Linked DNA regions of Pelodiscus sinensis. The protein of the gene in region 1 binds, or shares a complex with, the protein of each later gene. Links are inferred from orthologs where the notes say so. Each region holds a gene or a part of one and is shown on either strand. Other genes may lie near its edges. The genes, in order: AXIN1, GSK3B and SIAH1.

Region 1 (7,878 bases):
CAGGCAGATGTTTGCTGAGTCAGAGCGGGGTGTTTGTACAGTCGCTTTTCAGAGAAGCGTTGCATTTTAAACAGGAAAAGCTCTATTCAGCTGCGATTACCTGGTAGAGCAAATCTCTCCCGGCTAACACCCCCACACCCACATGTATGAGTAATAGGCACAGAGCTGCCTTTCTGTGCAGAACTCTTCCTGAGCCTGGAAACATTACACATTTAAATGTGGTAACATTTAACTAGAGCTGGCAAGCGATTAAAAAAAGTGTGATTAATTGTGCTGTTAAAACAATAATAAAATACCATTTACTTAAACAGGTTTGGATGCTTTCTACACTTTCAAATATATTGATTTGCATTACAACACAGAGTACAAAGTGTAAAGTGCTCACGTTTGTTTTTTAGAGTGCAAATATTGTAATTAAAAACATATAGTATTTTCAGTTAATCTAATTCAAGTATAGTAGTGCAATCTCTTTATCCTGAAAATTGAACTTACACATCTATAATTGTGGACAAAAAAAAACTGCACTCAAGAACAAAACAATATAAAACTCCAGTCCACTGAGGCCTACTTCTTGTTCAACCACTTGTTCAGGCAAACAACTTTATTTACATTTGCAGGAGATAATGCTGCCCTCTTCTTGTCACCTCAAAGAAAGAACAGGCGTTCACATAGCACTGCTACAGTCGGCAGCACAATGTATGCCAGAGGTGCTAAAGATTCATATGTCCCTTCATGCTTCAACTGCCATTCTAGGGGACATTTGTCCATGCTGATAATAGGTTCCGCTTGATAAAGATCCCAAGCAGTGCAGGCTGACTTTCATTTTCATCATGTGAGTCAGATGCCATCCCATTGTTACCATCTCTGCGTTTTGTCAAATCTGCAGGGAAAATGTTTTTAAAATGAACATGTGCTGCGTCATCATCCAAGACTGCGCTAATGTGAACTATATAGCAGGAGACATGTCATTCTCCCCCAAGAAGTTTTGTCTCAAATGTTAACACTCTTTTTTTAAACAAGTGTTGTCAGCATGGAAGCATGCCCTCTAAAATGGTGGCCAAAGCATGAAGGGACATACGAATATTTAACATATCTGGCACATAAACATCTTGCAATAGCAGCTACAATAGTGACATGCAAATACCTGTTCTCACTTTCAAGAAACATTGTAAATAGGTGGGCACCTTTATAGAATCATAGAACACGAGAACTTTGAAGGGACCTCCAGAGATCATCAATCTAGTACCCTGCCCTCATGGCAGGACCAAACACGGTCAAGACCATCTCTTATAGATGTCTACCCAACCCTGCTCTTAAATATCTCCAGTGATGGAGATTCCACAACCCCCCTAGGCAATTTATTCCAGTGTTTCACCACCATGACAAGTAGGAAGTTTTTCCTAATGTCCAACCTAAACCTCCCTTGCTGTAGTTTAAGTCCACTGCTTCTTGTCTTATCATCAGAGGCCAAGGAGAAAAATTTTCCTCCCTCCTTCTTGTAAGATCCTTCCATAACTGAAAAAAAAGCTTGTTTATCTTAGAAATTGGCTGAACAAGAAGTAGGAACAAGTGGACTGGTAAACTCTAAAGTTTTACTTTGTTTTGGAGTGCAGTTATTTAACAAAAATGTCAACATCTGTAAATTGCACTTTCATGATAGCCTGCACCATTGTATTCATGAGGCGAATTTAAAAATACTATTATCATTTTTCTAGTACAAGTATTTGCAATCAAAATAATAGAAAGGGAGCACTGTACACTTTCCATTCTGGGTTGTAACAGAAATAAATATATTTGAAAATGTAGAAAAACATCCAAAATGTTTAATTTCAGTTGGTATTCAATGGTTCAATAGTGTGATTAAAGCTGCAATTTTTGAGCTAATGTGTGAGTTAACTGATTTGTTGACAGCCCTATATTTAACCATTAGGTTTTTTTTAAAAAAACAGTCTATATCTAGGTAGAACATGATTCCAATTATGCCCCTCTCAGAGTTATAGTGCATGTTGCTTTTCACATGGCTCCCCGAAAATGCCACTTCTTGGTGAGAACGTATGTCGACTCCAGCTGCAGAATATATTTAATCTGACTAGGGAAACCGGAGACCACAGGTCTCAAACTCCCAGCCTGCAGGCCATCCTCAGCCAGAGCAGTTGTGCAATATGGTGTAGTATGCCTGGTGGGGGACCTGTCCATTACTGCCCCAAGCCCTGCCCCTTCCCACTATTGCCCATCCTCTCCCCGCTCCATGGCACCCCATCCCTCAAGGATGCGGCTTCAGGGATCATGGGGAGGAGGGTGCCTGGTGTTGCAGTGGGCATGCTCCTTATACTACCTGCGAGTGCGTTTGACCAGTGTGCCCCACTTCCCCTGCTACTCCTGCTGCTGCAGGGAGTGAGGGGGGCCCATCCACTGCTACTGAGCCACACCAGGCCCCCTCCCTCCATAATCCCTGAAGCCCCATCCTCCAGGATGGGGTGCCATGGGTGGAGTGAGGAGTGATGGCATGAAGGGGCGGGGCTTGGGGGCCCGTAATGGACAATCCCCCTCCCCAGTCTGCCAGAGTCCCAGGCTGGATTGTGCAATTGCTCCAGCCAGAGATGTCCCATGGGCTGGGAACTTGAGACCCCTGCCAGAGACTAGACTGTCTGTTTTTTAACCAGGTGTAGCTGTTTGAGCTGAAAAGAGTGACTGATAAGACAAGTATCCCCTCCTCCACTGACACACATGTAAGGCTTGGACTATTTTTCAGGCAGACACATGGTATTAAACTGTGTTGCCTACTGAACTTTGGGAATCTGATAAGACCTCCTTCTCCAGCTTCAGCTCTGGAATCAGAGAGGTTTCTGGAGAATGAGGCTTTCCCTGGGCACTGCTCTGGTTGGCACCTTTCCAAGGGATCCTTCTTGGCTGAGGTTCTTCTGATCAGAGCCACTAGGAGAAAAAGAACAGGACTATTCTACACCCTCCCCCACCCTTGGGATCTGAGTCACCCCAGCATCAGCACATCAGCTGAGTCACTGGCGCCCCTTTCAGGGGCTGAAGGGAACCCACCTGCTGTCTGAGCCAATCACAGCCTCTGATTGTTTTACTCCCCCCTGTTCCCAGCATGCCGAGCAGGATCCTGCGCTGGAACTAGGTGCTATATGAGAACTGACTCATTAGGGAGCAGCTACTTGATAAGGCAGGTGGTGGTGGAGGGAAGGCAGGCAGCTCATCCTGCCCTAACTTTGTTATGGAGAGCGGTAACTGGGGTAGCTGGCATCCTCATTCCATGGTCCACCCCCAGGCTCCTAAGCCTATTGAATTTTTTTTTGAGTTTTATTATTAATTTGAAGGAACAAGCTACCAAACAAATAAAGGGAAAGAAAAGGAAAAACCCAGCTAATTGGGGTCAGAGCTGACGGACCCAGGCTGTCCACTGGCTCCTTTGTGGGGACAGGGATCTTGCCCGCTGTCCACAAAGTCCATCTTCTTCCTCTTTGATTTGTGAAGCCTGAGAGCTGAATCTCACCCCAACAGCCAAGTGGGAACCTGTCCCTGCTCTATTTTAAGGTGTACTGAAATGTATTAAAATGGATAAGTACCGTTTGACACGACATTGAAGCCGATACTGACTGCCTGGTATGCTTCAGGCAGGAGAAATGTACACAAGAGAAAAATCACAGATGTGAAGGGAAATGTCCCTTCAAATAAAGCCTTGTCCCTTGTTTTTCACAGGGTTTTTCCCTTACTGCAATCAGCAAAGATGATCGCTCTGTTCGGGTCTCCCACCAGGGCTGGGTTGGATGAAGGCTCTCCAGGCCTTTGGGAACAGCCCCACAATTGGCCCCTGTGGCCCCATTTGCGCACTTGACGTGGCAGTGCCCTCAGTTCCACGCTTGGAGAGGCAGGTACAGCAGCACGGAGCCCACTTCTTGCCTAGAAGCAGCAGCAAGTTTTCCTCCCTTTTGTGAGCAACAGGTTTCTCCTGTTCTTGTCCCAGCACCTGAAGTGGGTGGGCCAAGCCCCTCAGAGCAGGGGGGCTCACACTGCGGGGTGCACAGACCATAATCCCCTCCTCAGAGTTATTGAGTCAGGCTCCCTGCAGACTCTGGCATCCGTGACGCTTCTGCCCTGTTTTCAAACAATTCCACCCAGGCAGGCTAGACGTACAGGCTACATCTACATTGGCAAGATTTTGCGCAAATACTTTTAACGCAAGAGTTTTTGCGTTAAAGTATTTGAGCAAGAGAGCGTTTACACTGGCATGTGTTTTTGCGCAAGAGATGTGCTTTTGCGCAAAAGCATCCGTGCCAGTATAGACGCTCTCTTGCGCAAGAAAGCTCCGATGGCCATTTTAGCCATCGGGGTTTATTGCGCAAGAAAAGCATGTTGCCTGTCTACACTGGCCTCTTGCGCAAGAACAGTTGCGCAAGAGGAGGCCTTTTTCCTGAGCGGGAGCATCATAGTTCTTGCGCAAGAAGCACTGATTTCACACATTAGAAGTCAGTGTTCTTGCACAAGAACTCCCCGCCAGTGTAGAGAGGCAGCATGTTTTTGCGTAAAAGCGCTCGCTTTTGCGCAAAATCATGCCAATGTAGACACAACCTAACTGTTTGTGTCTACTAAAACAGAGATTGTGAGATTACCAGGACTCCAGGAGCTAGGGCCTAGCATTAGCTTTTGTGCCTCTGCCTCAGTCCCACCAGGGCTTTCCTCTGCCACACCGCAGAAGTGTTTGCAGTTGGAGCCAAGGTACCAACTTGGGTCTCTGAGGCTGTGGCCTTCCCTTTCCCCCCTTCCCTGGTCCCTCCTGACTCCCAGGACCTAGGACTGGAGGCGGGAGGAAAGAGTTGGAGCCTGTTCCTTATCAGGAGCCAGGCGTGTGCAGCAGCTGCAGAGGTAGCTAATGGGAAGCCGGGGATGGAGCCGAGCGCGCTGGTGGCGTTTCTCCCTGCAGGCTGCTGCGGGGACACGCTCGGGTTGCCTGTCTGAAGGTGCCTGTGGCCGCGGAGATGGGGACGGGGGGGTTTGATGCCGCTTAGAAGATCCCCGCCCCGGGAGCTGGCCCAGGTCCGCGGCTCGCCGAGAGGCAGGTTTTGCGTTTTCCGGGCACAGTTCGGACGTTTCCGCGTCTTCCCAGCGCCGGGGAACCGGAGCGGGCTCGGCCGGGCTCCCCGCCGCGCTGCAGGCGCCCGCTCCTCCTCAGCCGCCGGGGCCCTGCTGCGCCCCCCGGCTCGGGCTCCCGGCCCCGCGGCGGGCTCGGGCTCTCCCGCAGTACCGGGCGGAGGCGCGGGGGGCGCGGCGGAGCCGGTCTCTCCCGGCTGGGCTGAGCCGTGCGGGGCTCGCCGCTCTCCGTGTCGCCGCCAGAGCCCGCGGCCGCGGCCATGGGGGTCCCGGGCCGCCCGCCTTGCGCTGCTCCCCGGCGGCCGCCGCCCGCGCTCCCCGCCTGCCGCCGCGGCTGAGCCGCATGGGCCGGGCCCCGCGCCGCGGCTGCTCCGAGCGGGTGAGCGAGCGGAGCCAGGCCCAGGCCGAGCCGGGAGGCCGCCCCATTGTGGGGCCGCCGGGACGGGCCGCCGCTAGGCCGCTGGGGCCGGGCCGGGCGTGCGGGGGGCCGGGCTCCGGGGGTCCCGGGCCCCGCGTCCTGCCGGCTCAGGCGGAGCCGCGGCTGCTGTCAGCGCCCGGCCGGGGAGCCGGGAGGCAGCGGCCGCCCCTCGGGAGCCCCGATCCGCGCAGGGGGAGGTGACAGGCTGGAAATCCCGCGCCGGGCCCTCAGGCGGCGCGTGTGTCCCCGCGGCGTGGGCCGGGGCGCCCTGGCCTGGCGAGTCGCACCCGGGCCTGGCCCGCGCCTCGGAGCAAAATGGCTTGTGGGTCAGTGCGGGCGAGCGAGGCAACGCGCTGGGAAAGGGGGCGACGTTTCACGGGGGGCCGGGGACTCGCGGGTCCGTGTGGTGGGGCTCGGATGAACCCCGGGGCCTGGCTGCTCTCGTAGGGACGAGAAACGCACCGCGAACGGGGCAGAGGGCGGAATGATTGGATCCGAAATTGCAGGTGTTCAGGCAAACCTCAGCATAGCGCGCGTGTGTGTTTTGGCCCAGTAGCTGTGCTGAGTAACTGTATCTCTTGGCCTCAGGATCACAAAGCCAGTTGAAACCCACAGTTACCTGGGAATTAAAATCACTCAGCCTGGTTGTTTCCCATGTTGTCTTGTTTTGTGATGATGCGCAAACTGTCGGGTGTCTTGAAGGCCAGGAAGGGCACCTTCTAGCTGTATTTGTTCAGCTCGGGGAAAGTTGTCCAAAAGATGCATTGGTTTGTGTGGGCTTTGCTTTGTGAGAGTGGCTTTTATTTCACAATTATTTCCCTTGGTATATTTTCACATGCAGTTGAGTTAGTCCATTTAAAGAAGTGCTCTGTGAGACAGCTGCAGCTTTACAGCATTCAGGTTTTTTATCCGAGGGGGAGCCGTGTTAGTCTGAATCTGCAAAAGCGGCGAGGAGTCCTGTGGCACCTTTCGTGGGCAAAGACCACTTCGTCAGATGCATGACTCACATGCATCTGACGAAGTGGGTCTTTGTCCACAAAAGCTTATGCTCCTACACTTCAGTTAGTCGATAAGGTGCCACAGGATTCCTCGCCACTTTTGCAGGTTTTTTAGTTGACCCAGAATTATTTTGTAACACTCAACTTTTGTTAGTGTCTTGAAAGAATTTAGGTTATATTGATTTAGTACACAAGTAGGTACCAGAGGTTGTACAACTCTACTCCTGTCTCCAGACATACCTTTTTTTTTGCACCATGTTGGTTCAAATTACTTTTTTAAATATTGTTTGATTATTTCTTCTCAGGTGGTGGCTAGGACTGTTCTCAGGGTCAGCAGCAAATAATGTTTGTTAGCTTATGTGAAACTTCAGTAAATAGCTCCTGCTCCATGAAGTATGATGATATATTCAATAGTGCTGTGCCATACACACAATTTTTACATTATGTTCCTTTATTACAGGAGTGTCATTGAGAAATATGCAAAATATTCTGGGAATGATGATGCTTTTAATTTCACTAAGGGATATTATTCACTTACCCTAATTAATGCTCAAAATGCTTTTCAAGTGCTGAGGTGATGTCAAAATGTGCCAAGGACTGGAGGGGAATTTCATAGTGTGTAATGGTGATTGTATTGGAACGTATATGGCTTGATTACATTATATTCTTGATTTTTAGTGCTAATTGGGAGTATTTTCAGAGAATTTTTTCATACTCTGAAAGAAATTCCAAAATTGTTATGGAGATGTGAATTTACCTAGTATTTAGCTATGTAAAACTACTGCTTATTTTATGAGTTTAGGATATACATGTTAAAATTCAAGTAAATCTCCTCTTTATGAAATATATAAATCCTTTTAGGATTGTTTGTTTCAGTACCTCTGTAATAGAAATATTGGCGTGCTCTAAAAATAGTCACGTTAGAATTTTTGTCTGCAGTATTTTTAATTTTGTTCTCGTTTTGTTTCAACAGGACAAACACATTCACTCTGGAACTCCTGATACTGGTGTTTTGAGGCTTAGCCTGGTCCCTCCTTGTTTCTGTGCAAGCAGGCACCATAAAAATGAATATCCACGGGAAAGGCTTCCCTTTGGATCTTGGGGGAAGCTTCACCGAAGATGCTCCAAGGCCACCGGTCCCTGGTGAGGAGGGTGAGCTAGTTTCTACGGATCCAAGGCCAATCAGCCATGGCTTCTATTCTGGGAAAAGTGACGTGATTAAAAATGAGACTTCTACAGCAACCCCAAGGCGCTCTGATTTGGATTTGGGGTACGAGCCTGAAGGGAGTGCTTCTCCGACTCCACCCTACTTGAGATGGGCCGAGTCGCTGCACTCCTTGTTGGATGATCAAG
Region 2 (7,719 bases), on another chromosome or scaffold:
CATGGTGGGTTGCGCAGCTGCCATGCCCCCCCCTCCTTGCCCGCTCCTCCCTTGTCTGCCTCTGCCTGCTGCTGCCCTACCTACTCAGCAAGGTCAGCCCTGGGTGAGTGTGGGTGGGGCTTCCAGTCAGCAGGGCAGGGCACATAACTATTTCGGAATAGGCATTATTCTTCTTAGAATGAGGTTTACAGAAGTCAGAATAAGCCTCCTGTTATTTCAAAATTATGTCAAAATAATGCTATTGCTGTGTAAACGCTTGCAAAGTTATTTCAGAATAATAGCCATTATTGCAAAAAAACTTTGCTGTGTAGATGCACCTATAGAGACCTAAACAGTGGATATTTGAATATAACGATTTAATTTTCTTAGATTTAAAAGACCATGACCAAACCATTCTGCAGTCCAAATCATGTAAATAACTTTCCCTGCTCCTGGTTGGAGTAGGACACTATTAAGAGTTGATTTACAGCACAAGAAAAGGCAAGAGGATGTGAATTTCTGATTGGTGGGTTGTTGAGTGGATTGAGCTCTGAATGGTGGATCCTTAAGGGGGATGGATATGAAAGTGCCCCAGAAGGGAGGCATTTGGGTGATGAGAGGGTTCTGTTGCTTTACTGGTGGGATTTAGGAAGGCTGAGCTATCATTTAAGAATGGTATACCAACCTAGCTTCTATAAATGATATAGCACCTACTGAAATAATGGAACGTTTAGCTTTTCAGTAGTACAGAATTAGAGTTTCAGACCTTAAACAATTTCTGGTCCCTTGGACTACTTAGAAACATAAGTCATCTCCCCCCTCCCCCTTCCCCCTCCCCCCCAAAAAGGTTAGAATGCTTCTAGCAAGCATCTTTGGCTGCACTGGCATGAGCAAAGTGCTGAACAGGAAAATTTGGAGTCAACTAATTTATTTTTGAAGCAGCATTCCTACTTGGAAATAAAGTTGTTGTAATGTAAAGGATAGGGTTTTAGTTACGTTTGGCGAGATCTAAATTACAAATATTTGCTGGTATAGCAATTTTGGTTAGGGGCATGATTTTTTTTCCTCAGTATTTCTATACTGGGAAAAATCCAAGAGTAGACAGTTATAGTGGCAAAAAGTGCTTTTGTTTTGTTCAGCAAAATAGTATAAGCTACACTGGCAAAAACATTTATAGGTTGAAATTAAGGAGAGTTTTAACATATAAATATAGCAGCCTCACTCTTTTTTTTTAAGTTTTTGGTAAGCAGATTTGATAGGTGGGTTCCATGCCTGCTCATGAGGTTTGATAGCCATGTGATAAAACCAGCAGTAGGTTTCCCTGTGCTCTGAGATACACTAAGACTGTGTCTAGACTGGTCAGTTTTTCCAGAAAATCCGCCGCTTTTCCGGAAAAAGCTTGCCAGCTGTCTACACTGGCCGCTTGAATTTCCGCAAAAGCACTGACGATCTCATGTAAGATTGTCAGTGTTTTTGCAGAAATACTATGCTGCTCCCGTTTGGGCAAAAGTCCTTTTGCGCAAAACTTTTGTGCAAAAGGGCCAGTGTAGACAGCCCAGATTTGTTTTCTACAAAAAAGCCCCAATTGCGAAAATGGCAATCGGGGCTTTTTTTGCGGAAAAGCGCATCTAGATTGGCCACGGACGCTTTTCCGCAAAAAGGGCTTTTGCGGAAAAGCATCTGTGCCAATCTAGATGCTCTGTTCCGAAAATGCTTTTAACGGAAAACTTTCCCGTTAAAAGCATTTCCGGAAAATCATGCCAGTCTAGACGTAGCCTAAGTGCTGACCAATACCATTTTGAATTAGTTTCAAACTTTATCATGTGTGCAGTTTATCACACACCATTTGTCAACTTGTGTTGTTCCCCTCTGCCTGATAATTGAAGGCTACTTCCAGCTTTCCCAATCAGCTTCAAATAGTAATCTTGTTTTTTAAAAAGCAACCTTTCACAGAAATGTCTCCTTTCCCGAAATGTGGAATTTCTCTACAAAAATTACTCAAGGCCTAGGACTAGCATGATTCAGTGCAGTCACAGTGACAGATTGAAAATCTTATTTTTTATAGTTTGGCAGAAACAAGAATGGCAACTTCACATAATTAAGCACAGAAGATTCACAGCTTCCTTAGGTTCCTCCAACACTTGCTTCTAGGAAATTCCCAAGACTCTATACTTAAATCATGAGATTGTTACATATAACTATTTCTGGACATTTAAGAGATTTTTATTAATCCCTCTGAGCCCTGTCCAAACACAAGGTAATTTAGGCATTTGGCGTTAAAGGCAAGAGTTTCATAAAAGTAACTCCACTACCCCGTTTAAACTCTTTGATGAAGAGGAAATGCTTTGAAACATTTATTTGAGTTCCAGTTGCTACACACAGAGAACACACAAAGGTGTACTTTGATGGACAAGCTTTACTAGCACAAAGCATGTACAGCCTCTCTCCGAGTTACGGACCAAACACTTGGCCATAACTTGATCCATTCATTACACGCGACCGCACTGTTCGTAAGCATGGGTCGCGTTCGTAACTCAGGGATTGCCTTTACGACTACTCCATCGGAGCTTTGATAGTAAGTGCGAATGGTTGTAATTCGACCGTTCGCAACTCGGGGAGCAGCTGTAGGTGTTGCCCACTGACGTGTGTAATGTCTTAGGGTTGCCAGGTGTCTGGTTTTCTACCAGACAGTCCAGTTTTTCTGTCCGGTAAAAATAATCCAGAAAATACCGGACACGTGCAATGTCCGGTATTTTCTGGTTTTCCGACTGGGCACCCGGAAGCCTGGTGTGTGTGTGGGGGGAAAAGAGTGGCTAGGAGGTGGGGCGCGATTGGCACTGGGAGCCCTGGTTCCGTGTGAGAAGGAAGGGCAGCCTGGTCCGTGATCCTGCGAGCTGGTCAAGCGCGTGGTGGAGCCACAGCTGGACTGACTCATGCTTCGCCTGAACCGTGCAGGGGGGGAGCGCCCTGGGATCCAGCCCCCCCCTTCCTCCGGCCAGCCCTGCTCCCCTCCCGGCTAGTCCCTCCCCCCCACTGAAGTGTGTCTGGTATTTTTTTTGAGACTACCTGGTAACCCTATAATGTCTCAAAAAAAAAAGTGGCTTTGCATTTTAATTTAATTGCATGATACTCTCTTTTAGTTTTAAAGTATGGATTGCTGAATTATACAATAAGCGCCAAATTGCACATGTAAAAAACAAACTAAGTACAGGCAGTCCCCGGGTTACATGGATCCGACTTACATCGGATCCCTATTTACAAACGGGGTGAGGCAACCCCGCACTAGCTGCTTCCCCCCAGCAGACCAGGGAGACACGAAACTAGCGCGCCTCCCCCCCCCCTCCCCCCCCAGCAGACCAGGGAGATGCGGAGCAGCTTTTCTCAGCAGACACCTCAGCTTGAGAATAAAGGCCTGAGGGAAGTGAGATGTGGGAGAATAAAACTGAGCTCTGGAGAAATGTTTGGCTAGAGTTTCCCCTACAATATGTACCAGTTCCGACTTACATACAGATTCAACTTAAGAACAAACCTACAGTCCCTATCTTGTACATAACCCGGGGACTGCCTGTATACAATGTCCCATACTTAAGTCTGTATTTTTAAGTAAAGTTTAGTTGTTCATTTAAAAAAAATTAAGTTTAGTTAAATTTTAGTTTCTTTTGTTTGTTTGATGAATACAAATAATGTCCTTTATGATTAAGTATTCAATGAATTTTCGCCTTAAAAAAAATTCTCTGGGTGCACACCCTAATGAAATGTGCTGTGCACGCCTATGGTGTTGCTCATGCCCTAATGCAACTGCCCCACACGCACGCTGAACATTTGCCAGCTTCCCCTCCACCCTCTTTCTGTGCTACCTAGGTCTCCCCCCCCCCTTGTGAAGGGACTGGCACACGTGCAGAGTGATGCCTGGGTCAGGCCTGGCCCCTGCAGGGACAGCAGCAAAGGCAGCACGCCTGGCAGCTGTGTCCTTCTGTGGGGTCCCGCTGTCTCGGTGCAGCTGGCGCGCACGGGCACTGCGTGGGTTGCCTCCGCAGCACGCGCCGGCCCCACCCAGGAGCGGCTTTGGGGGTGCGCAGTGCAGCAGACCATGGCGCGCGCGAGGCTGCTGCGCCGGGCCGCCGGGTGCCACGTTGAGCTGCGCGGGCGGAGCTTGGAGCCAGGCCGCTGCCCACCCAGCTCACGGCTGGGGATGTGGGCGGCCCCCCCCCCTCGGGAATGGGCCAGGCCCGCCCCCTCTCCAATAGGGATCCGCGTTTCGAAACAGACGGACGACGCTGGCGATTGGCACCGCGCAGAGAACGGGTTGGATGACGTCATTGGGCCGCCTAATCCTGCGTAGCCAATCACATGACAGCGCAGCTACCCAATCACAGCCAAAGCCGCTCAGCGGCCCAGGCTTCACTTTAAAGCTCAGGTAAGTAGGGAACCGAGCGGCTTCTGATTGGCTTGCCCACTCCGTCTATCATCGGATTCGCTCGGCAACCGCCGGAAGAGACTGCTCCTTCCATTGGCTCCGCTCTCGCGGCTGCTAGGGCGGAGGCAACGGCTTCTGATTGGCTCTGATGATCTTCGGGTTGGTTCGGCTATTTCCGTAGCGGCCTGGCGATTGGCTCCGACGCATTCCAGATGCTGCCGTTGCCGCTCGGTGATTGGCCCCACGCTGGTGCGGCTGGGCCCGTACCCAGCGCCGGATTGGCCCCGACGCGCTTCGGGTGTTGCCGTGCGGGAGCCTCGGGCTGGGGCTGGCAAGTGCGTCGGGCTGGGTATTCACGGAGCCTGGCTAGCGCCGTTGCGCAGCGTAGGGCGGCGACGGGGATAGGCGGCTGCGCGGCTTTGGCGCACACACACAGCGCAGCGGCGGCAGGAGCCGGGCACGGAGCGGCGGCCGCGGGGACAAAGAGACTGAGCGGCGGCGGCCGCGGGGCTCCCGGCAGGAGGCAGCCGCTGCCGGACGAGGCGCGGGGGACAGCGGCAGGCGCAGTCGGCCGGGCCGGCGGGTCCCATGTGCCCGGGGCGCCCCGGGGAGCGGCCGCCGCCAGGGCTCTGAAGCCGGCTGAGGAGGAGTTGGGGCCGGGAGCCGCCGCCATGGCCTGTGCCGCCGCCTCCGGCCGCCACCCGCATTGCAGCCGCCCCGGCGCGAGCCGCCGCCCGCTGCCCCTGCGGGCGCTATGAGGAGCCGCGCCGAAGCCGCCGCCTCATCCCCGCACTGAGGAGCCCGAGCGAGCGAGGCCGCCCGGCCGCTTCACACACACCCCTCACTCCGCCCGCCGCGGATCCCACCGCCCGCGCCGGATCCTCTTCCGTGTTCGCATCCTTCACCTCGGTCTCGAGGAGCAACGAGCAGACCCGGAGATCGCTCCGCCGAAGAAAATAGTTCCGTGGCTGCTGCTTCCCTACGAGGCGAGGGGAGAGAAGGAGAAAACCCGGCGAGGGAAGAAGAGGAGCTCGGCCCTCGCCTGCGCCTCATGTGACTGGCTCCCGGGGTGGGGGCAGCAAGGCCTAGCGACCCCCCGCTGCTTCCCGGCCCTCGGCAGACGCAGCGCCGGGGGGACTGGTGTGCTGGGTGGAGGCAGCTGTCGGGTCCAGTGGTGCTGCTGGGGAGGATGGTTTTATAAAGCAGGAGCGAAGCAGCCCTGAGAAGAGAGACCCGGAGAGGGTTCCCCCGCGGGGGAGGGGGCTGGAATTTAATGTTGCATTTTTCACCCCTCTCCACCTGAGAGAGACGCGCGTACGCAAACCAGGAAAAGAAGAAGGCGAAAGAAAGAAAGAAAGAAAGGAGGTGATCCGAGGGAGAGAGAAAGAGACCATGTCAGGGCGGCCCAGAACCACCTCCTTTGCAGAGAGCTGCAAACCAGTGCAGCAGCCTTCAGCGTTTGGCAGCATGAAAGTTAGCAGTGAGTATTGATTCCCCACCTACACTCTGTGCAGATTAAACATCGGGTTTTTTAAATGTAATTTGCACTGTTTGTCAGTAAACCTAATTGTGTGGAGAATTCTGGGCTGGTCAGTGGAAGAAGAGCTAGGCTGTCTCTAGCACCGTACGAGGCAGCCGCCTTTCTCTCCCTTTCACTCCCCCTCATTAACCTTGAATAGGCACCCATGGTTTCCATTTCGGCCTGTTTAACAAAAAATACTTTTGTGCCTTTTTGTCTCTTGTCTATAACAAGATTGTTGTCAGTTTGACCTGCTTGTTAAAGGGAATATTTCTGTTCGAATTTAGTTTTAAAGAGCTATGTGCTGCGTTTCTGCCTGTGGAGCAATGGAGGGAAGGAAATGAATTACGTGCACATATGTGCTCATTATACATATTTGTACAGTTGTATGCTTCTAAACCTATTCTGTTGTGAAAAGTGAAATGTTTGCTCTAGATATGCACTGATAACTAGAGTGCGAGTACTTTTTTGTGCAGGCTTACCCAGAGATTTAGAACAGTCTATTTCCCATAATAGCTTGTGTTTCAGGCTCTGTTAAATGTGCTGGGGGGGGGAGAGAAATCTTGAATATGATATATTGTGCACATATTGAGTTGGGAATGCAGGATTTCCTTTTTCACTAGCTTTCAGAACTGGGGCTATTTGTTAAAGAATGAGATCTGTGGCCCCATTCTAAACAGTAGCATTACATGTATGTTGTAAATTGAGTAAGTGGTTTAATGTGCTAATCCTTGATCTTCCGGTTATGGCATTGGGATTTTGAGGAGAATTAGACATGTATATTTAAATCCTATTAATCAAAAAGGTGAAGTGTTGGAAGAAAAAGGCCTGATTGTGTATTTCTAAAGCTGTTACATATTTATAATCAGATTTTTTTTATTCCTGGCTTGTATCTGTTCATATGCAAAGGTAAAATGGTTTTGCTCATCTTTCTATGTGATCTATGTGAATAATTTCCAATCAAAGACACTTCAATTCCACACTTGTAGAAATCTAGATGGCTTTATGAAAAGGACCTTGAACATCTGATATACATTACTATTATTTAAATTGATCATTTTGAGGCTTGCATTTTGATATTTACACCTGGCAAAGCTGTATTCATATCCTGTTGCTTTATTTGAATATGTGGAGCTTTAGTTTACAGCAAGCTTTAGGTTAATTTTGAGCTCTTTTTGTCTCAGATTCCTGCATTTTCTAGTCTGAGATGCCTTTTGCTGCTGTGGTAGGAGCTTTGAATAAAAAGGTTGGGTTTATGGTTTGAAGTCTACCCTGTCATGTCTGCGTGATCAGGATACCTCAAGTACTTTTGCAGATTTTGAGTAGTTTGCCCATATTAGCAGCATAAGACTGTACTGTTGATTAGATGTAGCAGTAGCACATTTCACTTTTTATATGGAGAATATTGTATGACTCCATTTTATTCTCATTCATTCTCCTTCTATGAGAGTAGAAGAGGAAGCAAGATGTGTTAATCAATGTTTCTACATATAACTTTATGTAAAATAGACCTAGATCCAGAGCTGTCAAACCAGAAACTAAAATGGTCTAACCTAAGCTTTTCCTCTTATTTTTTTTTAAGTTTAATTTGATTCTTTCTTCATATATGAGGTCAAAGTTTAGGAAGCTGCATGCCCATAAATTGGTGTGAACTAACAAGATAACAAATACGATTGCTTTCCTACCATGTTATACAGTGGCATTTAAAGGCCCACAATGGTGATAATCCACCGCCATTGTTATCCTGTGCTCCAAGTCCTGTTGGTGTCTTTAATAAGGATATAAAAACGGAGCAACAGATGTA
Region 3 (7,699 bases), on another chromosome or scaffold:
CACTGTTCTGTTTGAGCTTCTCTTACCACCAGCCTGGGCGCACGGAAAAAGGAGGAGGCGGAGAAAGCAGACGGCAGCTCCTGCGTGCTGCCTTTCCTTCCCTCCCCCAGGCCCAGGGAGCCACCCTGGCATATCGACCTCATGTGATCAGCCGAGATGGCTGTGCCGTCAGCAAAACACATTCCGAAACGCCGGGAAAGAATGGGTGGTGCCCCACCTACCTACAACGCGCTAGAAACTCGCTCGCTGCTACTTTTAGAAGCTACTTCAACTGCCCCGTATAAAATACGCTGCGGAATTTTAACTGATTAAAGCTGTTTCCAACAGCTGATAACTGAATTTCTTGCTTTTCCTGTACATGAGTATTCTGAGTAGCAGCCAACAGGCTTACACAACACCACAACCACAATTTTGTATACCTATTTGTAACAGTATTATTCTAACCTATAAATCCACTTTGAAAATGTGACGTTAAAGCATGTAAGAGAGAAAAGCTATGAAGTATTGTCCCCCACAAGCCCGTAAGAGAGTTGCCAACTTTCTACTTCCACAATAAAAGCACCCTGCCTCTGCCCCTTCTCCAAGGCTCCACTCCCACTTGCTCCCCCTCCCCCATCTCTCATTTTATGGAGGCTGGGCTGCCCTGGGGATAAGGATTCCAGCTGGAGGTTCGGACTTTTGGGATAGGGGTAGGGATTTGAGGGTTAGAGGGATACTCTGGGCTGGGACTGAGGCATGGGGGAAGACAGAGGGTTGTAGCTCCAGGAGGAGGTACAGGCTCTGGGATGAGACTGAAGATGAGACGCTTAGGGTGCAGGAGGAGGCTTTAGCCTAGTATCAAAGGGTTCAGTGAGTGGGAGGGAGGTTGGGGTAGGCTGAGCTCAGGGATGCAACCTCCTTACTGCTTAACTCAAGCAGCTCCTGGAAGCAACAGCATAACTGCATCAGCCCTACTATCCAGTTGGTGGCACTTTTAATAGGGAGGGTTGCCAGATGGTTTCAACAAAAAAACGGGACGCACTTGACATTACATCACAAACTACATTACATCTTATTTAGACACTGGACATTTATATTTTCTCTGTTTCCCGAACAGAAAGCTCAAATACTGGACTGTCCGGTTCAAACCCGGACACCTGGCAATCCTAATAATAGACTAGTCATTGGTACTGACCAGAGCCACTAGGGTCCCTTTTTGACTGGGCAGTCCAGTTGAAAATTGGATAGCTGGCAGCCAGTAATCAGATTAGTTTTACTGATTTGCTTCTGACACTTGGGTGGTAATGAATTGTAAATGTGTTAAACTTCCTACATAAAGACTATTCCAGAAGGCAGAGGAACCCAGGCAAGAGTGCAGAAAACAGGTGTGTGGGAAGATTCCATGGAGCTGTTAAGAAATGGCACAGTTTTTAAACTTAAGAACGGCCATCTAGTCCAGTACCCTGTCTGCGGACACTGGCCAATACCAGATACCCGAGAGGGAGGGAACGCAACAGGTAATCATCATGTGATCCCTCTCCTGTCAACCATTTCCAGACAAACAGCGGCTAGGGACACCGCTAATAGCCGTTGATGGACTTAACTTCCATGAATTCATCTAGCTCTTTTTGCAACCCTGTTAAAAGTCCTTGTCTTCACAACATACTCTGGCGAGAAGTTCCACAGGCTGATTGTGCTCTGTTTGAAGAAAATTTCCTTTTGTTTTAAACCTGCTACCTATTTATTTCATTTGGTGACCTAGTTGTTCTATTGTGGGAACAAGTAAATAACTTTTCCTTATTTACTTTTTCCACACCATTCATGATTTTATAGATCTCTATAATATCCCCGCACGCTCCCCTTTTCTAAGCTGCAACGTCCAAGTCTTTTTAATCTCTCTTCAAATAGGACCCATTCCAAGCCCCTAATCATTTTTGTTGCCCTTTTCTAAACCTTTTCCTAATGCCCAGGGCTCGACAAACCACTGTTTCTACTCGCCCATGGTGAGTAGATTTCAGCTGGTCGCTCTGTGCACCCCATTCACCGGCGCTACACACATGCGCAGTGCCGGTCTGGAACATGCGCGGTGTGGGGCTGGCGAGTAGCTCTCACCGCAGTTTGTCAAGCCTTGCTAATGCCAATATAACTTTTTCGAGATGAGCTGACCATTTCTGTACCCAGTATTCTTGATCCTCACACAAGTGGAAAAAATCAAGTTGATGCAGCTGAACTTATCCAGTACTGAACATACTGGATTCTGGAAAACTGGCACCTGGGATTACTGTAAAAGTACGTGAAACAGTAATAGTGAAGACATAAAGGCACATTTTAAACACAAACATAGTAAATCTGTAAACCCAAGATTTCCAAGAGCAAACAGAGGTTGCCTGCAAAAGGGCAAAACATTGTGTATGAGTTCTATAATGTATAAAACGTCCAAGTTTTTTTTTTTTTTTTTTTAAAGGAAAAAAGTGTTTCCCACTACATTAGAAATTCAGAGTTTGACCACCCTTGTTTTTTCCCTGGAAGACTACAGAAAACTATTAGAACTGTATATCAGTTCAAGACAACTGCTCCTCTCAGTGGTCCAAAATGGGCACTCAATCACAGGCTTCCAGCTCTCCCAGTTGTAGCCTCTTTTAGCTGGAGACCCATGTCTCACTCCCTTCTGATCAAGGAATGTCCTAGAAAAACATTTTCCTTCCTTCACAATGCACTTCCCATCAAAGACCCTCTGCCTAAACAGATATGTTTGCTTTCCCTTAATATACTGATAATAGTGATGATCAGTTATAAAAGGTAAAAACATTCTAGAAAATATTCTTTCAAAATGAAAAAGCCTACATGCATGCTAATAAAACTTAACCCTAACATGAATTCTGGCAGGCTTAGTCCTTAACCCTACCCCAATGAGTGCTGGCATAATCATAGGTCGATATTCGCAAAAGCTTCTATTTAAACATAAATTGAAGTGTGATACACGTAACTGTTAAAGTGACCATGTCTCTAACTGGTTACAAAAATCATGATTTAATCTGGTGCTGACAGGACTGTAGGATATTAGGAATTGTGCTGATATTTTTAGTCGTAATAGCTATATTTCACCCACATTTCCAGAGGTTTCAGAAGTCCAACGGCTCCTCCTAGCTGACAAAATCTCTAGCTTCTTCATCAACTTTTATTTTTATGGAAAAAAAAGGGAGAGAAAAACAAAAAGTACAGCTGAGTGGGCTGGAAGTATCCCATACTTAGTTTTTTTTATGTAAATGAGGTGTTAAATGCATGGAAAGCTGATTTTATACAGCAGCACAACAATTGGCAGGTACTCCTTCCCCATCACCCCCCTCCCCGCCTTCTTTTTCCGTTATAAATTCTGGATTCCAATTTCAGCGCATCTGAAAGAGTGGGTTTTGCCCAAGAAGGCTCAGGGCTCTCTCGATAAAGATATAGATATAGATATAGATTCTCTAAGGTGCCACAGGACTACTCATTGTTTTTAAAGTTACAGATTAACATGGCTAACTTTCTGAGACTTTCATTTTGAAGAATTAAGTTCTGGTTTGCAATGGAATCTTAAATAGTTGAGATAAAGAGTTAAACAGCAGTCCAGTCTCATACAGAAAGGTAAGCTTAGCAACAGTTCAGATAGAAAGCTAGTCACGCTTACTACTTATTAGAGTCAAATTTCACTCAATTGACCTTCAATAACAGTTGTGGTGTCTCTAGACTGCACATGACAGTTACACAAACTTCTGAAAGTCAGATCAATTATAAATTTTAATAATTCCCATTCACTTTCAATAGTCATGGAATTATCCTGATGTACATTTGTGTCTGATATGTTTCCCTCTTATTTATTACAGAGTTATACAAAAGTCAACAACTGTTGTCATTTCCAGAACTTGTGTCAGGGAGCTATAGTCTCTTTACACAAACCCCTCTTGCATACAAAAGTTGGTTTAATATAATAAAAAAAAGAGTTACCTAATGCAGTATGAACCAACCACTGACAGTTGCAAAATAAGGACTATTCTAATAAAAAAAGATCATTTACACAAGACATGTACCAGTTCGGAAAGTCAGTGATTTAAAGATTATGGATTTAGAGAATTTTTCTGTGTTCTTCCTACACCATGTTTTCACACTTGAAGAGCTCAAAAATGCAAACTGTTGATTCTGCAGTATTCAGAGCTATGGACTGCATTATCAATTCTGAAATACTGTCTAGTGAAAATCCAGTGTCAACTATTTTATATACAGGCAGTCCCCAGGTTACGTACAAGATAGGGACTGTGGGTTTGTTCTTAAGTTGAATTTGTATGTAAGTCGGAACTGGCGTCCAGATTCAGCCACTGCACCCAGCTGCTCTACTCCAGGTATCCACATGTCAGCCGCTGCTGAAACTGATCAGCGGCTGATTACAGGAAGCCCGAGGCAGAGCAACTCTGCCCCAGGCTTCCTGTAGTCAGCCGCTGGTCAGTTTCAGCAGCGGCTGAATCTGGACGCCAGTTCCGACTTACATACAAATTCAACTTAAGAACAAACCTACAGCGGCTGACTTGGGGACGCCTGGGGCAGAGCAGCTGGGGTGCTGCCGGGTTGGTCCAGTAGCGCCGAGGAGCGGCGCTGCGGGACCAACCCGGCAGCACCCCAGCTGCTCTGCCCCAGGCATTGTCGGCGAGAAAAGCCTGGTCTGCTGGGGGGAAGCGGGGGGGGCGCACACTAGCTGCGCCTCTCCTCCCCAGCAGACCAGGAAGACGCGGGTGGCGGTCCCGCCGAGACGCACCGTGGTCCCGCCCGCATCCTCCGCGGCTTTGCTCCACGTCTCCCTGGTCTGTTGTGGGGAGCAGACCAGGGAGACGGGGAGCAAAGCCTCGGAGGACGCCTGCAGCGGGATAGCCACGGTGCGTCTGGGCTGTCCTGCTGCCCACGTGCTCCGCGGCTTTGTTCCGCGTCTCCCTGGTCTGCCGGGGGGGGGGGCTCCCCCCAGCAGACCAGGGAGACGGGGAGCAAAGCCTCGGAGGATGGTGGCAGCAGAACAGCCGCTGCGCATCTGGGCGTCCTGCCGCTCGCGTCCTCCGGGGCGAGAAAAGCCCCGTTCGTAACTGCGGATCCGACATAAGTCGGATCCACGTAACTTGGGGACTGCCTGTAATCGGGTTAGACTCACTTATTACACTATAATTGATAATGTAAAGGTGTATTAAACTAAACAAAAACAAGGTACTCTTATTCAAGAACAGGAGTAACTCTAGAGATGCAAGAGTTTAACCAATAAGCATTATCTTATCAGTTAACCTTACTAATTAAACTCCCAGCAGTCTGTGGAGCATTTAACAGACTGAAATTCAATCCACTAATAGTTTTGTTTGTTTTTAAACATCTGCAGCATTTACACATATTATTCTGGGATAGTAGTTTCTGAATAACTCCCACTGCAGACAAGCTCTAAACTTGCACTCTAAAGAACAGATTCTACAAAAATAAAGCTATAAACATAAGACTTGCTAATAAATAGTCATCTTTTTAATTCCACATGATGCTTGATATTGTTTTAACTTTTAAAGAAACATCCATTATAAAGTAATCAGCAGTTGGCTTTGTGTGATGATCTCAAGATTATGGGCTACTAACACTTTTTTCTTTTTAACAGAATATCATAACCAATGATTTAATCTCTGTGTTATTGGTGTTGGAGTGTGCCTAACCAGCCAATCCAAGTTTCACAACACACAAGATTACAGGGAACTGATTAAATTAAATATACGCAGTTAAACTTGGAAAGCATCCTATTACCCATGATGCACAGGAAGTTGAAAGTCCTCCAAAATCACTAAGGGAAAATTACCATCTAACCCCAGATACTGCAAGTAGTTGGACCCTGAACAGGAGGAATAACCAGCAAATTAAGTACCTGAGACAGAGAATGCTTGGGGCCCTCTCAGTGCTCCATTTCAGCCTTTTCAGTGTCCTATCTGCAAAAACGGCCTTCTCTGATGCTTCAAAGAAAGGAAACAAAAAACCTCTGCAATACATCACAGAGGAAAAATCCCTTCCTGATCTCTTCAGGTAGCTGTCTGAAGCCTTGAAACATAAGTTTTAAGAACGTAATACATAAACCGAAATAAACCCTCTCAGAACTGCTACCCCCTACTCCCCACCATCACAAAAATACTCTATCAACACTTATATTTGGGCCTGCCCTCTCGCAAAAGTTTGTTTGTTTGGTCTCATCTCCCAGTAGGGCTGAAGGCTATTCCAAAACCTTACTGCTTGGAAGGTTAGAATCCTTCTACTTTCTATCCTGAATTTGTTCATGACCAATTTATACCCATTTATTCTTCTGCCAACACTGTCCCTTAGCTTAAATAGCTCTTCACCATCACTGGTACATACATACGTGTATACACACACACAAAGTGTATTTAGAGAGACTAATCATATCCACCCTCTTTTTGCTGTTGCTAGACTAAACAAAACAAGCTCTTCCAAGCTCCTCAGATAGGTTGTCTACTCTCCTATTCATCACAGTAGCACTTCTCTGCATCTGTTCCAGTTTCAACACATTTTTTAATACAGGCGATCAGATGTATACAGTATTCCAGATTCCCTCCAGCAGAAATACCTCACCTGATACATCCTCAAATCACATTTGCCTTTTTCTGCAGCCACATATTGGTTTCTTATTGTCATTCAGTGATTGACCAGAACACACCCAGATCTTTCCCTAAATCTGTGGCTTCCAACTGGTAATCCTCCAGCTTGTAGCAGAAATTAGTAGACCCTAAATGCATGACTTTCTACCTGTGTTCAATTGAATTTACTCTGGTCTTCAAGGTCATCCAGACCTACTTCATTCAAAGTTGAAAAAACAATTAGGAGATGGAAGAGGAGTGGATCAGATCTAACTGAAAAACAAGACCAGTTTTTTAAAAGCTATCTTATGAGCTGGATGAAACCTAATTTTTGGTTAAGTTAAAACCTCATTTGACTGAGGGGGTGTTAATGCACCCTTCAATTAACGTAACTGGAAGGATAAGCCACCACCTAGGACCAAAAAAACAAAAAACAAACAAAAAAACAACCAATAAAAACCCAACAACCCAGCATTTCTTTAAGGAAAGTTGAGGAGCAGAACGCAGAGGGAGAAATAGTAACTAAGGGTATGTCTCCACAGTCAAGAAAAAACATGCATATGGCTCGTGCCACCCGAGTCAGGCTTGTGGGGCTCGTGTGCGGTTTTATTGCTGTGATAAGTTTTGTGTGCATGCTAACAAGTGTTTTCTTGGTGCTGAGAACAAGAAAAGATGTTCTCTCCTATTCGATTCCTCCTTTGTTCGGTGAGATCTACATACATTCCTTGTAAATGAACAAAATTGGATCAAAGAAATACCTAGCTATCACCAATTTCTCATCTTAACTGAAATATCCTAGGGCCTCAAACTCTGACTAGCCATTCAGGTCAAAAGAAGGCAGTGCTAGTGTCAGGTGTGAGCGTTAGCTTCTAAGACAGACTTGCTGAAAAGGTACACTTGTTGAAAAGGGGAAAAATGATAGCAGTGCTCACAGAAATGTAAAAATGGTCTAAACCAGTGGTGTACAACCTTTTTCGGTTGGGAAACCCAGCTGTAACACATGCCCCCAGAAATGGTAAAATGGATTATCAAAGTGACCAGTAATCTGACTATCACAGACCATAATTTTTTTCATGAAATAGTGG

What was found.
Region 2: the proteins of AXIN1 (region 1) and GSK3B are in contact, whole or in part, in a crystal structure (PDB 4B7T), measured with the Homo sapiens proteins. The link is inferred for Pelodiscus sinensis from reciprocal best matches to the Homo sapiens genes AXIN1 and GSK3B. Residues at the interface, in NP_003493.1 of Homo sapiens: Glu384, Pro385, Gln386, Phe388, Ala389, Glu391, Leu392, Ile393, Arg395, Leu396, Glu397, Val399, Gln400; in NP_001139628.1 of Homo sapiens: Ile228, Phe229, Val263, Asp264, Leu266, Val267, Ile270, Lys271, Asn287, Tyr288, Phe291, Lys292, Phe293, Pro294, Gln295, Ile296.
Region 3: the proteins of AXIN1 (region 1) and SIAH1 are in contact, whole or in part, in a crystal structure (PDB 5WZZ), measured with the Homo sapiens proteins. The link is inferred for Pelodiscus sinensis from reciprocal best matches to the Homo sapiens genes AXIN1 and SIAH1. Residues at the interface, in NP_003493.1 of Homo sapiens: Pro378, Lys379, Glu380, Val381, Arg382, Val383, Glu384, Pro385, Gln386, Lys387; in NP_003022.3 of Homo sapiens: Cys130, Pro131, Ser154, Thr156, Leu158, Asp162, Ile163, Val164, Phe165, Leu166, Ala167, Thr168, Asp169, Val176, Asp177, Trp178, Val179, Met180, Asn272.

The regions. Positions count from the first base shown.
Region 1 is NC_134726.1:4,493,983-4,501,860, reverse strand, and holds the start of AXIN1 (axin-1), read left to right. Parts: upstream 1-4,872; 5' UTR 4,873-4,979; exon of another isoform or gene 4,980-5,074; intron 5,075-5,191; exon of another isoform or gene 5,192-5,488; intron 5,489-5,557; exon of another isoform or gene 5,558-5,853; intron 5,854-7,498; 5' UTR 7,499-7,589; coding exon 7,590-7,878. UniProt on the Homo sapiens protein: Component of the beta-catenin destruction complex required for regulating CTNNB1 levels through phosphorylation and ubiquitination, and modulating Wnt-signaling.
Region 2 is NC_134711.1:142,772,158-142,779,876, forward strand, and holds the start of GSK3B (glycogen synthase kinase-3 beta), read left to right. Parts: upstream 1-4,659; 5' UTR 4,660-5,788; coding exon 5,789-5,876; intron 5,877-7,719. UniProt on the Homo sapiens protein: Constitutively active protein kinase that acts as a negative regulator in the hormonal control of glucose homeostasis, Wnt signaling and regulation of transcription factors and microtubules, by phosphorylating and inactivating glycogen synthase (GYS1 or GYS2), EIF2B, CTNNB1/beta-catenin, APC, AXIN1, DPYSL2/CRMP2, JUN, NFATC1/NFATC, MAPT/TAU and MACF1.
Region 3 is NC_134722.1:28,842,029-28,849,727, forward strand, and holds the start of SIAH1 (E3 ubiquitin-protein ligase SIAH1), read right to left. Parts: upstream 3,064-7,699; 5' UTR 1-3,063. UniProt on the Homo sapiens protein: E3 ubiquitin-protein ligase that mediates ubiquitination and subsequent proteasomal degradation of target proteins.